Drosophila melanogaster: one gene and its partners. The protein of the gene in region 1 purifies or fractionates together with the protein of each later gene. This does not show direct contact. Each region holds a gene or a part of one and is shown in the gene's direction. Other genes may lie near its edges.

Evidence for each region.
Region 2: the proteins of Syb (region 1) and Snap24 purify together in Drosophila melanogaster (affinity purification with mass spectrometry; 2 studies listed by BioGRID, with this or other methods). This does not show direct contact.
Region 3: the proteins of Syb (region 1) and Snap29 purify together in Drosophila melanogaster (affinity purification with mass spectrometry; 2 studies listed by BioGRID). This does not show direct contact.
Region 4: the proteins of Syb (region 1) and Snap25 purify together in Drosophila melanogaster (affinity purification with mass spectrometry; 2 studies listed by BioGRID, with this or other methods). This does not show direct contact.

Annotation. Positions count from the first base shown.
Region 1 is NT_033778.4:10,248,755-10,254,946, reverse strand, and holds Syb (synaptobrevin), read left to right. Parts: upstream 1-2,529; 5' UTR 2,530-2,665; intron 2,666-2,774; exon of another isoform or gene 2,775-2,872; intron 2,873-2,962; 5' UTR 2,963-2,972; coding exon 2,973-3,019; intron 3,020-3,733; coding exon 3,734-4,068; intron 4,069-4,360; coding exon of another isoform or gene 4,361-4,377; exon of another isoform or gene 4,378-4,578; intron 4,579-5,119; coding exon 5,120-5,196; 3' UTR 5,197-5,512; downstream 5,513-6,192. Other genes in the region: Csgalnact (chondroitin sulfate N-acetylgalactosaminyltransferase), read right to left, coding at 103-246, 308-610, 671-807, 922-1,960; CG12914 (uncharacterized protein), read right to left, coding at 5,787-6,005, 6,089-6,192. UniProt on the Drosophila melanogaster protein: Involved in the targeting and/or fusion of transport vesicles to their target membrane.
Region 2 is NT_033777.3:9,760,298-9,764,968, reverse strand, and holds Snap24 (Synaptosomal-associated protein 24kDa), read left to right. Parts: upstream 1-1,818; 5' UTR 1,819-2,119; coding exon 2,120-2,758; 3' UTR 2,759-3,664; downstream 3,665-4,671. Other genes in the region: CG8478 (uncharacterized protein), read right to left, coding at 1-288, 343-943, 1,034-1,066; Mpi (mannose phosphate isomerase), read right to left, coding at 3,824-4,437, 4,491-4,671.
Region 3 is NT_033778.4:23,842,407-23,846,866, reverse strand, and holds Snap29 (Synaptosomal-associated protein 29kDa), read left to right. Parts: upstream 1-2,103; 5' UTR 2,104-2,220; coding exon 2,221-2,488; intron 2,489-2,557; coding exon 2,558-3,144; 3' UTR 3,145-3,384; downstream 3,385-4,460. Other genes in the region: CG5554 (uncharacterized protein), read right to left, coding at 278-760, 927-1,101, 1,171-1,332, 1,536-1,708; shu (shutdown), read left to right, coding at 3,673-3,731, 3,789-4,460.
Region 4 is NT_037436.4:24,072,341-24,077,643, forward strand, and holds the start of Snap25 (Synaptosomal-associated protein 25kDa), read left to right. Parts: upstream 1-1,839; 5' UTR 1,840-1,970; intron 1,971-5,303. UniProt on the Drosophila melanogaster protein: May play an important role in the synaptic function of specific neuronal systems. Associates with proteins involved in vesicle docking and membrane fusion.

The DNA of each region.
Region 1 (6,192 bases):
GTTAGAAAACCCTAGACATTTCAACTATATCACTGCTCTCCATTCACACACACTTAAGTAGAGAAGCCAAGCGATTGGGGATACATGGGGAATAGTCGAGTATCACGATGTCATCTTTGCCGCATTAGCCGCGGCTATATCATCCCGGAAAGCCAGGAATCCCAGTTGGGCGTGCGAGGCCTCATTCAAGGCCCTCGATCGAATGCAGGCCCGATACTGATCGGCTGTCAGGGAACTGGAACAGATCTGTGTAAAAGAGAGAACTCGGTAGTGCAAATGGGCTGAAATTCGTTGCATACAACAGTACCTTGGTGTGCCAGCGGTGAAAGATTCCCGGGTCGGTGGCCCTGATTATCTTGATTTTTGATCGAACATACTTTCGGTATAGCATCACATCCTCGCCGCCCCAACCGACAATCTCCTCCTCGTCGAAACCGCGCACCTTTAGGAAGTTCGAGCGGTACTGGCACGTCATTCCGTAGCCAAAGTCCCGCCAGAAACCGGTGTCCCTCGATATCACCAGTTGCTCCTCTTCGCTGGGCAAGGGCTTGCCCTGCAGTGAGTACACCACATGCGGATTGTACAGGCTAAATACGACGGGGTAGTAGACCTAAGCGTTGAAAATAGATGTTAATGTATTAGTAATTTAAATAATAGCAGATATATTTACCTTCTTTCCAGGCGCTGCATTCCAGCGACAACGCTCCAGGAACTTGGTCGTGAACATAATGTCCACGTCGCACATGAAGAGCAGCACGTCCTCCTCAGCGGGTTGAATGTGCTCCGCTCCCAGTCTTAAAGCTTTGGCTATAAGCAAAATGGCTATTATTAACTACCAATATTATTTGTAATGCATTATAAACTTGCATATGTATTATGAACGAAACAAATGTAATATTAATAAACGAAACCCGTGCTTACCCCTACTGAAAGTCTCATTGAGTGCCAAAAACTGAGTCCTTTGGGATCGTCCAGCCAGGCTCCTAGCTTGCTCCAATCCACTGGTTCCAAAGTACACCACAATAAGCTCCAGGCGACGATCCTCTAGCTTGGCGAACATCTGCAGGAAGCCGCGAAAGCTGTGCAGACGTCCAGCCAGCGGTAGTATCACGTGGATTATGGGCGGACTATGACTTGGAGGGGCACCACTATTATCCACACTGGAAGATAGCTCCGATAGCTGCACCGTTTGCAGAGGAGCAAATGGTCGCATGACCAGGGCTCTCCGCACTGGACTCGCCTGGTGCTTGACACTCTGGAAGTACAGCTCGTACTGGGTGCCTGTGGTGGGTTCGTTGCGGTATATGCCCTCGATAAAGTCATCCAGGGTGTATTTGATCACATCCGAGGCGTAAGCCGCTGCAGAACCAGCTCCCTTGGCTCGTATTCTCGCTGAGTGATTCCTGTTCAGGCTCTCCAGCGCCTTGTTTACCGCCTCGATGAGGTCACGTCGTCGATAACCGATGGGCTTCTCCACCACGCGCTTTCCCAGGCCCAAGTCGATGGGATATACTCGCGTGAAGGTGAAGTGATTGTAGGGTATCAGCTCGTACTCGTTGTTCAGCGGCAGTCCATGCAGAATTTCTGCGGCGCCCACCTGCTTGCGAATATAGCTGCTGCAGTCGTAATGGTGACCCAGTGGTGCAGTTGGTGGCCCCGCGGTGGTTTCTTGCAATTGAAGACTGCCATTTGATGGCTTGGCAGTGCTGCGATTATTCTGTAGAAAGAGGATTTGAGTGCGGAGAGCCAGGACTTCCTGTTTCAGCCGCTCAATTTCCGCCTCTCGTTCGCTTAAGGTGTAACTGAATCCGCTGGATTCACTCGGATTATTGGCTTGAGTTTCCCTCGTCGTCAGTTCATCGAATCCGCACTTTGTGAGCACCACAATGGAGGCGCCGGTCAACAAGGCGAAGAGCAGCAAAAGCCGCAGCAGCAACTTGGTCACCAGGGAGTTATGCATTTTCCATAGTTTCTTACAAAATTTTCAACCTATTGAAAATAATAAAATAATTAGTTATCTAAGTGCAATAGTAAAATGCAAACACACATTTGAGACTGTAAAAAAAACTAGTAACGAATTATCACAAATTTTATACATTGCTGTGGAATTCTACATTTTTATTACATATTATACATGTACATGGCTCGGTAGAACAGTTTATTGGTTTTTGTCTCTGCTATTTAGGCAACAGTGCGTTATTAATAATTTTCGCTGATCTTTTGTAAAAGTATTAAAGATAAATCAGTTAAGAGCAAACAAAAATTTCATTTTGGCTTGCGGCACTGGTAATTTAAGTAATAAAATAAGATACAATAATATAAGACATTGATTTGAAATCAAACATCATCTGCAAGGAACTAAAGAAAAATGGAATGCAAGTGCTTGTTAACAATAATTTGTGCGCCGATACACATACTAAATATACCAATTCATGTTTTTTATAAGCTAGATAAGTATTATCTTTTTATATTTGCAAGGGGTTTTCAGGAAACATCGATAGTATCGATAAGGTATCGGGCTTGGTTCCAGCTCTAATAGTTCAACGGTCACACTGATCACAAGCTGATATTTCTATAAAAAAAAATAGTGCTATTTAAAAAGCAGCCGCAGTTTTCCGTGGAAAACCCGAAATACACAGCAGTATTCTACAGGCACATTGTCAAGGTGAGTGCTCGGGGGTGGTGGGTGGTTGGGGGTGGCGTTCCACCCATGTAAACAGCGTTTGTTGGCAGTGCGGCATGCAACAAGTTCTTTTTTCGAGCAAAGGTGATGGCATTCCTATAAATCGAGTGATTCATAGGCCGAATAGATAAGGCGTGTGCTGCGTTTTGTTTTCTTTTCTTTTCGGCCCTGTAATCTAAACAATTTCGGGTGTGTGTGTGTGATGGAACATGCATTCTCCCCATTTAAAGAACCAGACATCCAATAAAGGCCTTTCTCTGCTTCGCTTTCTTTCCGCAGCAAATTCACAATGGAGAACAACGAAGCCCCCTCCCCCTCGGGATCCAACAACAACGAGTAAGTGGTGGAAATCCATCGAATCAACAGGCTCAGCGCACAAAAGCAAGGAAAATCCCATACAGTGACGTCACCTGAGTCATATGGGCCACAGCGAACCGGAAGTAAAGTCTTCGGACTTCACTTTCGGACATTGGAATACCGTAAACGTCATGCTGCTGCCCAAGCGGTAGCTTCAGTTGTAGTTTGAAATCAATTAGGGTCATTAAAAGCATTCAGTTAAGTTGAGATATTGTAAAGTCAGTTGCTATCTTAGATGGAATATTAATGTGAAATGGCAAATTAACTCGAATAACAAAAAAGTATTAATTATATTCGATTCTAAATTGTAAAACATTTGCAAGTAGCTTATAATCAGAAACAGAATTTGCTTATTAATCACTTTATCGCAAATGGTAACTGAACATACTTAAGTATGTTTCATTTAACATCTATGAAAAACAAATGAATATTACTCATTTTATATTTTTTTTTGTCAATGGAATTTCAACAGCACTTGAGATTGTGAAGTTTTATTAGTCTATCCGAATTTAAGAAGAAAGAAAGTATTTATAGGACACAAGTCCCATTATTAAAACGTGAAAGGTGAATTGGCATAGATAACGATGGCATGATATACCAAGACTCGTGCTTTTGTGCGTTGCAGCTTGATGATCCATCTGCTGCTCTTAATAAGTGTAAGCAACCCCCACAAACACACATAATATTGTACAGTTTTCCCATACTTCCGCCACCGCCGAACGCGAATGACAACTACAATCAATTCGGTGACCATCAAATCAGGAACAACAATGCAGCCCAGAAGAAGCTGCAGCAGACCCAAGCCAAGGTGGACGAGGTGGTCGGGATTATGCGTGTGAACGTGGAGAAGGTCCTGGAGCGGGACCAGAAGCTATCGGAACTGGGCGAGCGTGCGGATCAGCTGGAGCAGGGAGCATCCCAGTTCGAGCAGCAGGCCGGCAAGCTGAAGCGCAAGCAATGGTGGGCCAACATGAAGATGATGATCATTCTGGGCGTGATAGCCGTTGTGCTGCTCATCATCGTTCTGGGTAAGCTAACCGATTTTATACCGCTTCGGCTTTTTGCCTCTTGCTGGTGCTTCTTTCTGGTTGCGGTTTTTCTCGATCAGGCTAAAGATCAGTAGTGTAGCTAGGTGGCTGGTTTGGTTTGGTATTGTTATATCTATAACGCAAGTCGACGCCCTGCAAACGCCCTAATCTTGCTCAACCTGTGGTTTCGGTCCTAACAACTTGTCCATGTGGCTTGCAGCTAACTAATCCAATAACAGATACTCCTACTCGTACTGATGACAACCCCTTGTGAATTTCTGTTTACTTGCAGTGTCGCTTTTCAATTGATACAATTAAACACACACTCACAGAAAAACAAAAGCAAAGCCAACAAAAATCATGTAATTCCGTTTCCCAATCAGCAAAGTTAAGGTTCAGATTAATCGTTTAACACGTTTGTGTACGTGTACTGGCTCCTACTATATACTCCTTAAATTGTTTATTATATTTTATAAAAGTCTTAAGCTAAGCAACTCTAAAGCTCTAAAGGTAATTGTTGTTCTTGTGCCTGTCCTAAGTGTTAATTATCGTTATATTTGTTTAGTCTGTAGTGTGCGAAGATTAGAACCTCCATGTCATACGTGTGTAGACTATAAAGTTCATACATATGTATATAGCTTCAGCAAAGCTATTAAGAAGTTAAAAATGGTTATATCTACAGTGCAATGTTGGGGCTAGGGCTCTGTTCTATGGAGAAATTTCATTTTAAAAAGTCATTTCGATTTTATTCAAATTAAACTCGCGTAAAAAGTATTAAATAAGAATGACAATACGAAATCCGTGCTGACATCGAAAGGTATGTAAGATAGTAAGCGGGAAGATAAAATCTGACTTTAAAAGTTGTTAATTAATAAATAACTGAAGAAATCTTTCGTCAACAAAACGCTCAGTACAATGTGCTGGGTGGTTAGAACTTTTACTTAAAAAGACCGCGATTTCATTTAAATGCGAGATAGGATATGAAATCCTTTTCATATCTCGTTGAATTGATATAAACATAGCTCTAATATCTGCGTATTTCCCTTTTTAGTGTCCGTTTGGCCGTCTAGTAGTGACAGCGGCAGTGGTGGAGGAAACAAGGCCATCACCCAAGCACCGCCGCACTAAAGGCCTCCTAGGGAGTGAGGTAAACACATGGATACGAAATGGAAAAGGACCAAACAAACACAACTGGGACGGAAACCTTTCTGGTCTTTTCGCGCAATGAGAGAAGGGGAGATGAAGAAAATCAAAAGGATAACTTACTAAAATTGCGTCTAGCATATATTTAACCAGAATGTAATTATTAAATCTTAATGTTAAACTTAACATTTTTACGTGTCGTAGCCGAGACCAGAGGTCCCATTAATGTGTATTGCATTATATACAATTATATATACGTGTATATCATCCAATTGAAAATACATCATGCCACCTACACTTTAACCGGACCCATCAAGTCCACCGAAGTTTTATGGAAACGTTTCGCGGACAGAGCCATTTATTTACATTCAGCGTTTTTGCTTAAGATGCGCGTGCCATGGAAACAGTTATCGATTTTCCGGCAAACCGAATCGAAACAAGACGACAGCAGTCGCGGGCACCCAGACAAACTTGCCCCATCGACATCGAGGCACTGACCAATTGCCGCAGGAACTGAATCGTCTCGCATAAACATTCTGTCCCAGCTGTTCCGATAGTCCACGCATGCGTTCCACTCATTCGATGTTCTTCCGATAGAACAGGTACACGAATATATCATGAATGTCCGCGCGCCATCCCATCAATTCTATAAACGAGGCTGTCGTCCACACATAGCCCATATATAGGGCAAAAAAGTTGAGGTAGTACAGCTGGCCGATCAGTATGTAGTCCCCGGTCGACTCCTGGCGGTAGAAGTTCGGCTTTCGCATGGAAGCGCCAAAGACTATGACAAACTGTGGGCAAAATTGGAGGAATACTGTGTCGTTATTTTAAAAATGGGAAAGTAGGTGTATCGTTTCGTTTCCCTGAGGCTTACCACGCTCGAGAGAATGGTGTATACTAGCAGGGTTGGAAACTCTATGATAACACGCTTCATCTCGGCACACACGATGATGCCAAAGCAGGTGAGGACAAATATGC
Region 2 (4,671 bases), on another chromosome or scaffold:
CCGACATGCGCTGCTTGAAGGAGTACGTTCGCGTCTCTGCGGTGGTGGTGGGCAGATAGGAGCGCCGAGGGCGCGGTAGGGCGGCACCCGAATAAGTGGAGCTCATGGACTGCCTCTTCTTGCCCGCCTCCACTTTTAATTTGGAGGTCGCTGGCTTCACAGAATCAGCGGAGATCTTTAGAGCTTTGGCAATTAGCTCAGAGACTTCGTTCACTACCTCGTTGACATGGGCGACCTCCTTTTCGGCTCCGGCTGGCGAGACCAGCATGGATACTCCTTCGTTGGATACTGTAAATGTAGATGTTTATAGAACGAAACCATATCTCAATAGTATAAACCTACCTTCAGTTATATTCTCTAAAACTACGTTCGCACTCAAGGGATAGACTTGGCTGGGAGCTGGGGTCTTGGCAGCCTCCTGCAAGGATACATTGTCCATGGTAGCATCCCCTGTTTTTAGGGTATTGGCCTTAACCGTATTGGCGGTCACGTCCACTGAACTGGACAAGGTCGAGTTATCGCCGCCACACCCCTCCGGTTGTGTGTTTTCCTTGTCGTCAATTTGGGTCAGATCTATGCTCTCCATGATCTGTGGTGTCTGCGTTTCGGTCGAAATATTGCCCTTGGAGGGAGTGGAGCACAAGGCGTTGTGCCGGTTAAGAATACTTTTGTCAAATGGGCGCAGAGGAGAATTCTGGTCCGGTTCCCCAATGGTCAACTGATGCAGATCCTTTAGGATAGTGCGCCTTAGGTCCTTATCATCGGTGTTTACCTCCACCTTGCTGTTGTGCACCTCCAGGAACTGGCTGTTCTGGGTGACCAGGGCCGACTGCCACTTGGCATTGGACAGGGTGTCCTCCGCGTCAAAGGATAAATACATGGAGACGCTCTCATCGTTTGTCATTATCGATGAGCTACGGGAATCGATCTGCTGGAAGTGAAACTATTGTTTTAGCAATGAAAATGGGATAATGTTCGGAAGTCTTTTCCCGGCAAATGGAAGCAACACCAACTGAAACCACCAAACACTTGCCTTGCCGGCCATAGTTCTGCGCGAATCGTCCATGGTTAAGTATATGCTATTCCCAATTGGCCACGAGGAATTCCCAAATTAATAAATACAAGCAATTAAGCAAAAATTCGAGCAGCTGAAGACCGACGCTGTACCGAAAAAACAAAGCGTTAATATTTCAAACACACTTTTCAACACTGCGCGCGCAATGAAGATAGCAACGGCGCCGATGGGAATGCGCGGCTTTAAATTATGAAAAGTATTGAAAAAACTATAAATTCTTCACTACTTTCAAATTGATGTTAACGCGTAGGAGACTTTGTAGAAATAAATCTAATTTTTTCGGCACACGACGAATTGAAAGGTTACAGTGACTAGATGGGAAATATTTTTGAAAACATAAAATAATTGTGTTTTATCAGACTCGAACAGGGTTCATGTCTTAGATAAAAGTGTAATATCAGACTGGATTATTAGTTTATGCATGGTAAATCGACTTTTAAACTCAGATTTAATAGTAAAATGTAAGAAAGCCCTCTTTCGTAAATAGTTTGCAGCTTGTTTTGCTTAATTTCTTTAATTGTACTTGTTGCGAACTAAGCCTAAATGCAATATTAAACTTTTAAACTCAGATTTAATAGTAAAACGTAAGCAAGCCCTGTTTCGTAAATAGTTTGCAGCTTGTTTTGCATAATTTCTTTAATTGTACTTGTTGCGAACTAAGCCTAAATGCAATATTAAACAGTGTGAACACACGTAAAAATCGCCTATCGAAAACGACATCGATACTAACATCGATTTTTTTGCAGCTCTAGTATACAAATTGGCGAATTGTTGTGTGGTGTGAAAATTCATACTTTCGCAAATAAATTATTAAACCTTGGCAATAAGTTCCTACGTACGGAGCACAAACGAGCTCATCCCCGCCCCAATTACATATCCACCGAGTTCACACACCGAACCAGCACCAAGGGTAGTTTTTCATCTCGCGCGAGTGAGTCACTGGCCAGATTTCCCCACCCAAAAAAAAAACAAGACAGCCGTCTTGCCTCTCAACCACTTGCCAAGCTCAAGTTCAAGTGATCTCACCAGATAGATAGTTCCGAAATGGCCGCCGTGGAGAATGCCGAGCCGCGCACTGAGCTCCAGGAGCTGCAGTTCAAGTCCGGACAGGTGGCCGATGAATCCCTGGAGAGCACGCGTCGGATGCTCGCCCTCATGGACGAAAGCAAGGAGGCTGGAATCCGCACGCTGGTGGCCCTGGATGACCAGGGCGAGCAGTTGGACCGCATTGAGGAGGGCATGGACCGGATCAACGCGGACATGAGGGAGGCGGAGAAGAACTTGAGTGGCATGGAAAAGTGCTGTGGCATCTGTGTGCTGCCGTGGAAGAAGGTGAACATCAAGGACGACGGTGAGAGCGCCTGGAAGGCCAATGACGATGGCAAAATCGTGGCCAGCCAGCCGCAAAGGGTCATTGATGAGCGGGAACGCGGCGGCATGGGTGCACCACCGCAGTCCGGCTATGTGGCCAGGATCACGAACGATGCGCGTGAGGATGAGATGGACGAGAATCTCGGGCAGGTGAACTCGATGCTGGGCAACCTGCGCAACATGGCCCTGGACATGGGCTCCGAGCTGGAGAACCAAAACAAACAGGTTGATCGCATCAATGCCAAGGGCGATGCCAACAACATTCGCATGGACGGCGTGAACAAGCGCGCCAACAATCTGCTCAAGAGTTAAATATGCACAACGGCCACGTCCCGAAACCATAGCGAACATGTTAGTCAGACACCACCTCCATTTCAATGTTGTTAGGGAAAGAAACCAATGTTGTGGGCACAAACCGTAGCTGGTGGTATTGCGTTATTGATACCATATATTATACACATATACAAGTAGTGGCAACTACTCCTGGCAAACGCAAGCGTAACAAACCCATCTACTTACAAGAACTTTAAGCCGCCGAGCCGGATGAACTAACTACTACTTTCTAAAACTATATATATATATATATATATATATATATATATATATATATATATATATATATATATATATATATACATATATGCGAACCAACATACTAACTACTTACTATTACTACACTCGTGTACAAATGGCAACCAGATGGCGCCGGAAACAATTTTATTATGAGATTTACCGTATATGATGTACTCTGTTTTTGGTACAAACTTTTTGAGCATTTTACCGATCTTTGTGAAATCAAACCAAGCAACTGCTGAGATGGATAAATGTGAATTAATGTATTTACAATTCGTAGAACCACCGCATCCCGCACGGGCACCGAAAAACCAAACAAAGACGGGCGGAAATTATGTATAACGTAGCCAATTTTATGTTCTCCATTGTTAACCCTTTTTAAGTAGGCCATGTATTTGGGCATTTCGCAAGCCCAGCACAGCAGTCCAAGCACCAATTCTATTGAATTACACTAGATTTGCACTCGAACCTCTTGCTTCGTACATATGAATAATTTATCCCCAGTGAATGTAACCCCGATCGAGTTACGTAGCTCTAGCTTAAGTACTTGAAATTGTTGGTTGCAATTATCGCAAATATTTAAGAAACTACCTGTTTGTGCGCAAGATATTTCTCGTTAATTATTAAATGTACTATGGAACGAGTATAGCCAATTGATTAGATAACTTATTTATCGCTACTATTGCCACTTTAGCTTACATTCTTAGCTCTTAATTGCAAGTAAATATAAACAAAATAATTCACCACCAAAACGTGTTAATGGATTTATTGCACTGTACAAAATATTTCGATTAACTGAGAATTTTAGGGCACTCGAAAGTAGTTGCTGGTTGCTATGTAGCCGCTGAAGTCCTCGTCGCAATCGTCGGACTGGGCGAATTCGATTTCCGGCGCCGCCTCGACGGGAATGTACACAATGCTGCCGCGGGTTACCAAGATCTCCTTATCTCCCTGCTGGGTTTTCAATTTAAGAATGCGGGATCCCTTTAGAACTATCAATATGGAGCCGAATGCTTGTATCTCCAGCTTGTACGACTCCAGCGAGTGTTCGATATTCACATTTATCACTGCAAAGTCGGATACTGGCGGAATATAGACCTGGACCTGGTCATCTATGCGGTACGGAATGAACTCCTTGCGATCCTTATACGAACTTTCGAAGATCACAGATTCCAGCAGCTGGTCCACATCCTTGTACTTGGGCGTTAGGCCCGCCCGTATCACATTGTCCGAGCAAGCCATGCACTCCACACAGTCGCCGTCCAGGTAGGCATGAATCTCGTTCGCGCCCAAGTAGATCGCCTGGCCGGGCTGCAGGCGGATTAGGTTGAGGAAGAACAGGGACAGTACGCCCACATCGCCGGGGAAGTCTTTGTTGACCTTGGTGAACACCTCAAGCAGATCGTTGGATTTCAGTTCTATTTTAGAGGAATGTTTACAAATCTTTCATAGATTGCACAGAATGGCTCACCGTTTTGGTAATCCTTGGCTATTTCACTGATGCACTTGGCTATCACCGGCTCTTCGGTCTTCATCAGCTTCTCGTAGCACAACTTAACGCTTTCCGAGTTGGTCGAGTCATGGAGCTGATCCACAGCCTCCTTGCCAATGAGTTTACTCAGCGGCTGGAACTCATCGATGTAGTCCCTGAT
Region 3 (4,460 bases), about 14 Mb from region 1:
ACTAAAGTTACATTTAGTTATTGTTACGCTTGCTATCGCTTAATGGATTGCAATTTTGCTTTACATAATTATGAAATACATGGGGCGCCGTTTTCTGGCTAGGATTAGAAGGAGGGAAAACAATCGGTTTTGTGCGCGAAGGCAGAGCAGACGGATTATGTCCGCTCGAATGATGCTTGGGTAAGAGGTTGTGTTCCTCTCGATTCAGTGTGTTAGTCTTTTTGTTGCCGCTTCTGATGATCGCTAAGGCTGAAGATCCGCAGGGACCCCGCTGCACCTAATCGCCTTTGCGAGGCTTGCGCTTGCGCACCTGTTCCGTCTTCTCGGGCGCAGCATCGCCGGCCTGCTTGGGCTCCGGCTTCTCTTCCTTTTCCGGCTCGCTGTCGGCCTCCTTCTCTTTAGTGGCCAGATCGCCCACCTGCTCCTCGCTGTCCTCTTCCTCTTCGTCGTCGTCCTCCTGTTCTTCCTCGTCGCTATCGCGTTGCTCGTCATCGTTCTCCTCGGCGTCGCCATCATCCTCGATCTCCTCGGTTGCCAAATCCTCCAGGCCCTCGGTCAGATTGTCCTGGGACTCGGAGAAGCTCTGGCGCTGCGACTTCTTGGGTGGGTAGACAAAGTCCACAAGGCACACGAGCAGCAGCCCCAGGGCAGCGCCCACGAAGATGGTGGCGATGGCGAAGAGGGCGTAGGAGCCCCACGTGGGCAGTCCGTATTCCTCCTGCAGGCGCCCGTTGAAGTCCTTAAAGAGTTTTTGCGTATGCTATTAGTACATGAACCCAACATACAAGACAACAGCAGAGAGCAAAGACCAGAGTAATGAGTGATGGGCGGCAATCTTTTGTGGGTCAACGGGATCAACCCGCTGATAAGCTTCCGCTTATGTCTCATGCAGTGAACCGATGCGATAATGGGCTAGGTGAACGTACCTTCAGAGTGTGCGAAAGCTTGAAGAAGTAGGACAGCACGGACATGTGGGTGGTGTCGGGCTTCTTCCAGGCGGACAGCGGTTCGATGCTCTGCCACTGCTGCTTCTTCACGAAGTAGAGGAGGGCGTCGCCATCACGGGCCCCACGATACTGCCGGAACTCGCCATCTTTTACGCTGGAAATGATTGACGTGGATTACGACGATGTGTATTTCATGGGTTGAAAAGGTCTATGTGGTGCTCACTGGTAGATGGTGGGGAGGGCGGTGACAAAGAAGCGTCCACTCAGCGAGGGCGAGGTTGTCACGTCGATTTTGGCCACCTGCACCTGGACATCCTTGGCCACGCGGGCAAACCGCTCCCAGGTGGGAGCCAGGTTCTTGCAGGCCGGGCACCATGGAGCAAAGCTGTGAATGGAGGGAGAAACATATGTTTAACACAGCTGCCGATGAGTCATCGTCGCCGCAAAGGAATGTCTGGTATTTCGGAGAACGAAAGAACCAGCTTGCCGGCTGGAGAAAGCCGGCGCACCACGCCCCTTTATGTTACGTCAGGGGCAGCGGGGTTTCATGTGGGTAGGGACTACTCAGAGCCACCCTTTCGCACTCACAACTCGATCATCCATTCGCCCTGGAGCATCAGGTGCCAGTTGTCCTCGTCCAACTCGATTAACTTGCCACCTGGCTGCAGTCCTGACTGCGCTGCTGCCGTCGACTGCGCCGTCGCCGCCAGCAGAAGCAGCGCCGCGCATGTCGCGGCCACAAAGTACGATGTGCTATGCATGTGGTGATGTTTTGGTGCTTTGCTCCGCCGATTCGTGTCCTGAAACCTGTGACGTTCGGCTGCGACAGTTTCTTAAATTAAACTAAAGCTTCCGTCTTGGTCAGTTCCAAAAAGTTACAGAAACTGCGACGCCTGCTGGAAAATTGACAGAAGTGCTGGTTCGATATCCATCGGAGATGGCAAGCCGCTTTATTCCCCGCTAGATCATCGGTAGGGGGATTCGGTCGGTATTCGCTCGTTACACGATTTTTTATTTATTAGATCAAGCTTCAAGTTTTCTTACATACAAATTCAATTTTTATCGTATCTTCAAAATCATTTTAATTATAATAACTTATTTTATTGAAGCCTCTGCAATGTCAAGCTATTTATAAGTCGATTGAACTGCATACAAATACTACATTTGTACCATCGCTATTGCAATCGATAACTCCAGACAACAACAAAGAAAATAAAAGTTTACGAAAACATAACAAAATTCGACATTTTGGAAGTTTCCCTCGCCACAAGAAATGGCCCATAACTACCTGCAGCCAGTGCACGATCACTTCGATGACGTGGACAGATTCGAGGACGTGGACGACGACCTATTCCTGCAGAACAAACGGACGGGAGCAGCCAAGCTTCCGCAGCAGAGGAGCACCAATCCCTTCGAGATGGATGACGATGACGAAGAGGAGATAACCTCGTCGCCATCAGTGGCCGCACAGCGACTGGCCTATGCTGAGAAGCGAAGGGCCATTGAGCAGCGAACTCTGGACTCTACCAACAAAAGCTTGGGTAAACATGGGGTCAATTGCCAGCCAATTAAGGGGCGTTATTGATGCGTCTCTCTCCTACAACCCCCAGGTCTGCTCTACGAAACCCAGGAGGTGGGTAAGGCGACGGCCGTGGAGCTGGCCAAGCAGCGGGAGCAACTGGAGAAGACATCACATCAGTTGGACGAGATCAGCTCCACGCTGCGCTTCAGCCAGCGCCATCTGACTGGTCTGAAGAGTGTCTTCGGCGGCCTCAAGAACTACCTTTCGGGCAACAGGGACCAACCACCCACCGCGACTGGTTCGCCCACGGGCAGTCAGTCCTCCCAGGAGGCCAATAGCAACATTAACCAGGGTGCCTGTGGCGGTGCTAGCCCCTCGGCTCCGCTATCACCAGCGGAGCGCTACGACAATCATCCGGTTAGCCAGCTGCGTGGTGATCCCAGCAGCACCTACCAGCCCCAGCGACAGGCGGCCAATCCCTTCCAGGCCCAGATCGATTCCAATCTGGAGGAGATGTGCAGCAACCTGTCGGTGCTGAAGATGCTGGCCACCGATCTGGGTGGCGAAATTGAGTCGCAAAATGAATTGCTGGATAACATGAACTACAAAATTGAGGATGTCGACTTGAAGATTCACAAGCAGAACAAGGACATGAGCAAGCTTCTGAAGAAGTGAACAAGCGAGCATTCGCATACTATTGTATTGATCATTGCTTAGAATAGCCCTCCCTTAATATACAAATCTTAGCCATACCATATCGCACGGTGAGCACTTCACAAGGCCATTAAGAATGCATTCCTCATTATGTTTCCTAGTTTTTTATTGTTACACACACCAAAACAATTCTCTCAATGGAGTGCTCGTAGTTGGAGAGCGATAAGTGTTCAGTTTTAAATAAAGATTCATATAAAAAGCAAGTATATCTGGCCTAGTGTTTCCCCGTCTGGATTGGAATACATTATACATTTTCGGAAGATATCTCGAGTTGCAGTGCTCGCGCCCTAATAAAGATATATAGTTCTTTGTTTGAATTCGATAACTTCCGGACAACAGCGACCAATCGATTCGCTAAAGCTATCAAGCAATCGAATTCCAGTTGATACCATCGCTGGAAAGCTCTTTTCTCAAACGCATCCAAAAGAATAGCGCCAACTCAGCGCATTCCGGAATTCGTTTCGTAAATATTCTGTAAATTTTGCGATAATGGAAGAAAACTTCGAACCGTACACCCCACAGTTGCTCAAGAATCCCTTGTCCTATTCGTGAGTAATAAGATACATATTAAAGGCACTCATGACCACGTGCAACTCATTCTGCAGGGATCTCGTGAAAAAGGGCGTTGAGTTCGAGGTCGACAATTCGCAGCAGAACCATGCCAGGGATCTGGGTCTCGACAGCGACAGCGACAGCGACTACGAGGATGCGCTGGACGTGGACGGCGAGGAGCTACGTTCACCGTGGACATATTCATTCGACGAACTGCGTGCGCTGATGAGCGAGATCGACGAAAACATTTACAAGCGGATCACTCGCACCGGTCACGTGGATCGGGAGGCGGTGCCGAACAAGGCTAGGGTCTCGGTTCGGTACAGTGGCTACTGGGAGGGCGAGACCGCTCCCTTCGACTCCTCCCTGCTGCGGGGCAGCAAATTCGTGTTTGAAACTGGCCAGGGAACGGTGGTTGAAGGCCTGGAGGTCGCCGTCCGCAGCATGCGTCCTTACGAGCAGGCCGAGTTTATAATCTCCTACAAGCTGCTTTTCGGAGAACTCGGTTGCCCTCCGCGGATCAAGCCCAAGGCGGATGCGCTCTTTAAAGTGGAGGTAATTGACTACTCGCTCATAGGAGATGCGAAGGGCATCGATGCTATCCCCCAAGAAGACCGCGACAAGTTTTGTGTGGTCTATCCGAAGGCTGTCGACTTGCACCTACATGGCAAGGACTCGGTGAAGCTCGGACGCTATCAGAGTGCAGCAACTGCCTTCGAACGGGC
Region 4 (5,303 bases), on another chromosome or scaffold:
CTATTTGATGGCCAATCTAAAGCGTAACTTTTGTATATACAGCTGCGTTTAAAACAATAGCACTACTGCAGGTGGAAAGTTGATTTCGTAAAAAAAATTATTAAATGTTTATTTTTTTTTTTAAGTCAGATTGTATGAATAATAAGTACCATATGTTGCATCTCTGAGCAAGAAATTTTTACTCTTTCAATGTAACGGTTCTTTTTTGTTTTTGGGCACTTGCTGCAAAAGTGCCCAAAATGAGGCGGTAACAAAAATAGCACTGACCACGTATTTGCTGAATAAAATTAATAGGGGTGATTACTTTGGTTTTTTTTCGACAAATTTTGAAAAACGGAGTTGCACTAAAGGTTTTAATTGAATTTTTTCCAAACGAAGACCAAAAATTCTCTAGTCATGGGTCGCGGAAAGCATTGTACCGTCGAAAAAAGAAATTTGATTAAAAACATGATCTCTGAAGGTAAAACCTACTCTGAAATTGGTCGCATTGTCGGTTGCTGAAACAAAATGATCCGCAAAGCACTGCTGTTTGTCGAAAAGAACGAAACATGGAAGAAGGAGCTTCAGATAGCTAAAAGCGTGGAAACTGTTCGCAAACGCTTAGGACAAAGCAACCTTAATGCGTGCAGCCCCAGAAAAGTCCCGCTTTTGACTGTTAAGCATGTGGCAAAGCAATTTGAATATGACAAGATACACAAGGACGGGCCTGTGGAGAAGTGGCGAAACATTTTTTGGTCAGATGAAAGCAAAATTGTGTTGCTTGGTGGGAAAGGCTCTCGGTCTTATGTTCGGCGTCCACCACGAACTGAATATAATCCTCGTTACACCTTTAAGAAATTTAAAAATTGTTTAAAAGGGTGGGCGTTTTGTTGTTGAAAGTGGGGGGTGGGCCACAGTGTTACGTTGCTGTTTGGGTTAATAGTTTCATGATACGCACTTTGAAAAATGGAAAAGTCACTGTCACTATCTATCTATCACTATCTATGTATCTGTAAATAGAAAAATATTTTATAAAAAGTCTTGAAACTATTAACCCAAACAGCAACGTAACAGTTTTTATAATTAAATTAAAGGACATTAACTATTACGCTGAATTCAACACATAAAGGTATCGAAAAAATTATACGAGTTTTTGAAAAAACCCACTATTTTCCCGACTATAATACATATATTCAAAAAATCATTGATGTTTTCAAAGTCTGCAATCTTGCAAAAACAGTACGTAGACCAACGAAACTTATTTTTAAACTCCAGAGACAAAAAACTGAAGAGAACTTTACGTTATTGATATTAATGCTAGACAATAAAGAATATTTATCCTGTATTGACGTCTACTCAAAATGCATCCCCTATAAAAACAAAGAGATTGGTTGGAGATTGTTTGTCTTTCAAATTTTTACCAAACACTGTGGCCACGTTCCTCCTTTCACCTACACAACGCCCAAAACGGTAACGCCCACACTTTCAAACATATTTTTTTAAATTTTTTCTCATTTCATTCCCCAATATCTATCGATATCCCATACAAATGACGAAATTTCGCGTTTGCATTCCCTCAAGCTGAGTAACGGGTATCTGATAGTCGGGGTAACCAACTATAGCAATCTCTCTTGTTCCATTTCCAGACTATTACATCTGTTTATTCGAATTCGGAATATCATCAAGAGTAGCTGGGAGTATCATATCATCAAGAGTACGGGTATTAATTAGTCACGGGAGTGGACGGTATTTGATGGTCGAGGAAGTGGACTATTGCGTTTTCTCCTGGTGGGAACAATATAAATAATACACTTAAACATTCGTATAAGCCCTGCGCGCGCACGTGTTTAAGGCTAAAAGTGTCATAGCTGAACCACCTGATTTTGTTTCAATTTGGTGTTTAATATTTATACAGTTCTGTGTGTTTTGGTATCAAAAGATACGGGAAAAATATTCGTTTTTATTCTTCTAACAGCTATTTAAAAAGTCAGGTACTACAAAAGAAAATGCATATATTTTTTTGTGTACATCGCAAGCAAAACACGGCCTAAAAATGGCATGGCATAAATTTAGCATGTCAAAACTATTTGTAAAAACAGTATGGACTAGTGTGATTTCGATGGTTTCTTTTATTTTTGAAATCTTTCGCAAGAAAATAAATCGATTTGTATAATGTTAAATGGAAATACAGTTTAATAATTGGTTTTTGATATATGACCACGAATAAAAGCTTACAATAATAATCAAAAACTAGAGAGAATGCTATAGTCTAGTTACCTGACTATCAGCTACCCGTTACTCAGCTAGTGTTAATGCGAACTCCAAATTTTTTCTTGGATATCGATAGATATTGAGGAATAAAATGAGAAAAAATTTTAAAATTGTTCCAAAGTATGGGCCTGACCGGTTCGGCGCCTTTAGGGCGTTAGATAGAAATTTACAAGACTAATAAAAACGCAAAAAATATCAACACATCCTTTAAAAGTTTCTGAGATCACGACATTCATACGGGCAGACGGACATGGCTAGATCGACTTGGCTATTGATCATCACTACTCGTAGAGTAATTTAATAATAGTAATATTTTAATAATTTTATTTGTCTGGTAAATTTCTATCGATTTGCAAAAAATCTTTTTGAAACGCCCACTCTAACGCCCTAAAGCCACCGAACCGGTCTTGGCCCGAACCACTTTGGACCAATTTTTAATTTTTTTCATTTTATTCCCCAATATCTATCGAATTCCCAGAAAAATGATGCAATTTCGGGTTTGCTTTCACACTAGCTGAGTAACGGGTATCTGATTGTCGGGGAACTCGACTATAGCATTCACTCTTGTTTTATTTAACTACGATAAATCTGTATTAATTTCAGTTGCTATGTAGGTATATTTTGGTTTCTTATATTTTTTAAGGAAAGACAAACACATGCAAGAAATACATAATAATTTAATTTAAATTACAAGCACTAGAAAATCTTAAAAACAATTTGCAAATTAATTACAGTAAAATAACATTGCTGTTAAGCTTAAATATTGGTAAAAATAAAATAGAAAGAAAGCGAAAAACGCATTATTAATGTAAATTTATACTTATTAAAAAAACTCTAATACAATCCCTCATAAGAAAGCCATTACTAAATATCTTAGATACCAGAAAACATTGACGATCGTAACGATCCTAATTTAAAAAAGACAGAATGCTAGAGCAGAGGTTAACGACCTCCAGATACCCGTTATTTAGAGTGCGCGCTTGAGTATGCGTGGCTAAAAGTTTTTTGGCATGGAAGAAAATATTAATCTATCACTAAGGAAATCAATTCACTTCGACGAAATCAAGGCAATCGCAAATGTAGGATCATCAGAACTGCAAGCCCAACTACTCAATGGCGAATGCCTTGTTATCTCCACCCCGTGGGAAATCACAACTTTCAATACAACAAGTATGACCACATCAAGCATATCCACTGCATATCCACACATATCCATTTCACCGATCTCCCCGGTTCTGCCTAGAGCATGCCAAGAAGTACGCCACAAAAGCGACTCCATTCTTTTCCCCAAAATAACACATGGAACACGCCTTTGCAGTCGCTAAAGGCTTATAAACGATTTGTGCGGTTATCGCCCTGCAGATAAGGATGCCCCCCCACTTCGCAAGCCGCGATCGATCTTGGCAAACTGAAGCCTGCAATAATTAATACACCTGCTCCCGGCGCACCCCCACCTACTCGCCGTCTACCTAAAGTACTGCGGATCACGGTCCCCGGCGTGGTCAACTTTTTGACGTTCTCCAGCGAGCTGGACGCCCTCATTGGAGATTCATGCACAATACAAATATTAAATTTATATATATAAAATAAATATTAGTTAAAGATTAGTGATTTACTGACGTGATCCTGCGGCCTCATGATATCCAAATCAAAGGAAACAAAACCGGCAAAGGTGAACGAATTGATGACGAAACTAGGAAATGATGAAATTGATACTGATGTTTACGAAATATTGGATCAAAACGCAAGCACAAGTATGCAAACTCAAATCAATGATTTAAAGGAGATGCGTGGAGTTGCAAAAACATGTATGAATGCACAGCAGGTATATCGATCATTCAAAATCATTCAAATCGGCATTCGCACTTGATTTTCCAAGTGTGATGAATACAGCCGATGTGCAAAGAGATTTATTGCGACGATAGCGACGCAATAGCGAGTCATTCATCGAATACTTTTATGCGATGTTATGTATCGGACGACGTGGGAGTCATCAATAAATTCATATATTTTCAGCGGACTTAATTCACAAGAACTCACGAAAGCCTTATTAGCAATGGACATACGCACTTGAACAAGGTAACAGCAATGAAAAGCAACAGCAAAATGAACGGTGTTCCAAATGTTCTAGGATTGGGCATAATGAACAGGATTGCAAGGTGAAAACATCGTCAAAGAATGCTCAAGTGCATGAGGCAAAACATAAGGAGTATCCGCCAATAGTAAAAACAGTTCTGATTGGAGATCAAAAGTTTAAAGCGTTCATCGACACGGTCAACTCAACGTTAATACGAACATTAACAATCTGTTAAAATCCTATGAAGAATGTTTTGAAAAAGATTGGATCGAAAATTGGCAGGTGCAAGACGACGACGATGGTTATAGTGGTATCCATTACGAGTGCCTATGCGTGGACTACCGGGCTTTAAACGCTCTATTTGATGCCAATCGTAGAGGAACAATTGGCCCTGCTATCCGGAAGCATATACTTCAAGACGCTGGACCTCTGGTTATTACCAGGTCCCGATGGACGAGAAAAGCAAGCATTTAACGGCATTTATGACACCAAGTGGACTGAATTAATTTTATGTGATGCCCTTTGATCTGGTGAACGAACCTATGGTCTTTCAGTATGATTGCTTATCCAATGAGCAATTTATTGAAAAAGGATGTGGAGTTCGTATGGGGAGAAGATTAAAGGAAGCCTTAGCAACGAAGCCGGTGTTCACCCAGTAAAGAAGTACACACTGATGAGAGTAAACTGGGAATAGCAGGAATTATGCTCCGACGAGAAGAAGACAGCACGAAGCCTGTATTTTATTATTGCTGGCTATGCAGCGATGCAGAGAGAAGATACTCATGCTTTGCGTTAGAAATATTAGCAATTAATGAGATTCCGTATATATTTACTAGGATCTCTTTTTCTGGTGCTGTCAGATTGCTACGCTGAAGGAATCAACAGAGCTACTGCCACCAATAGGAAGATGGTGGGTCAAGCAACAAGAGTTTGATTTCACTTGTAAATATCGACCAGAAGCGGATATGCCACACCT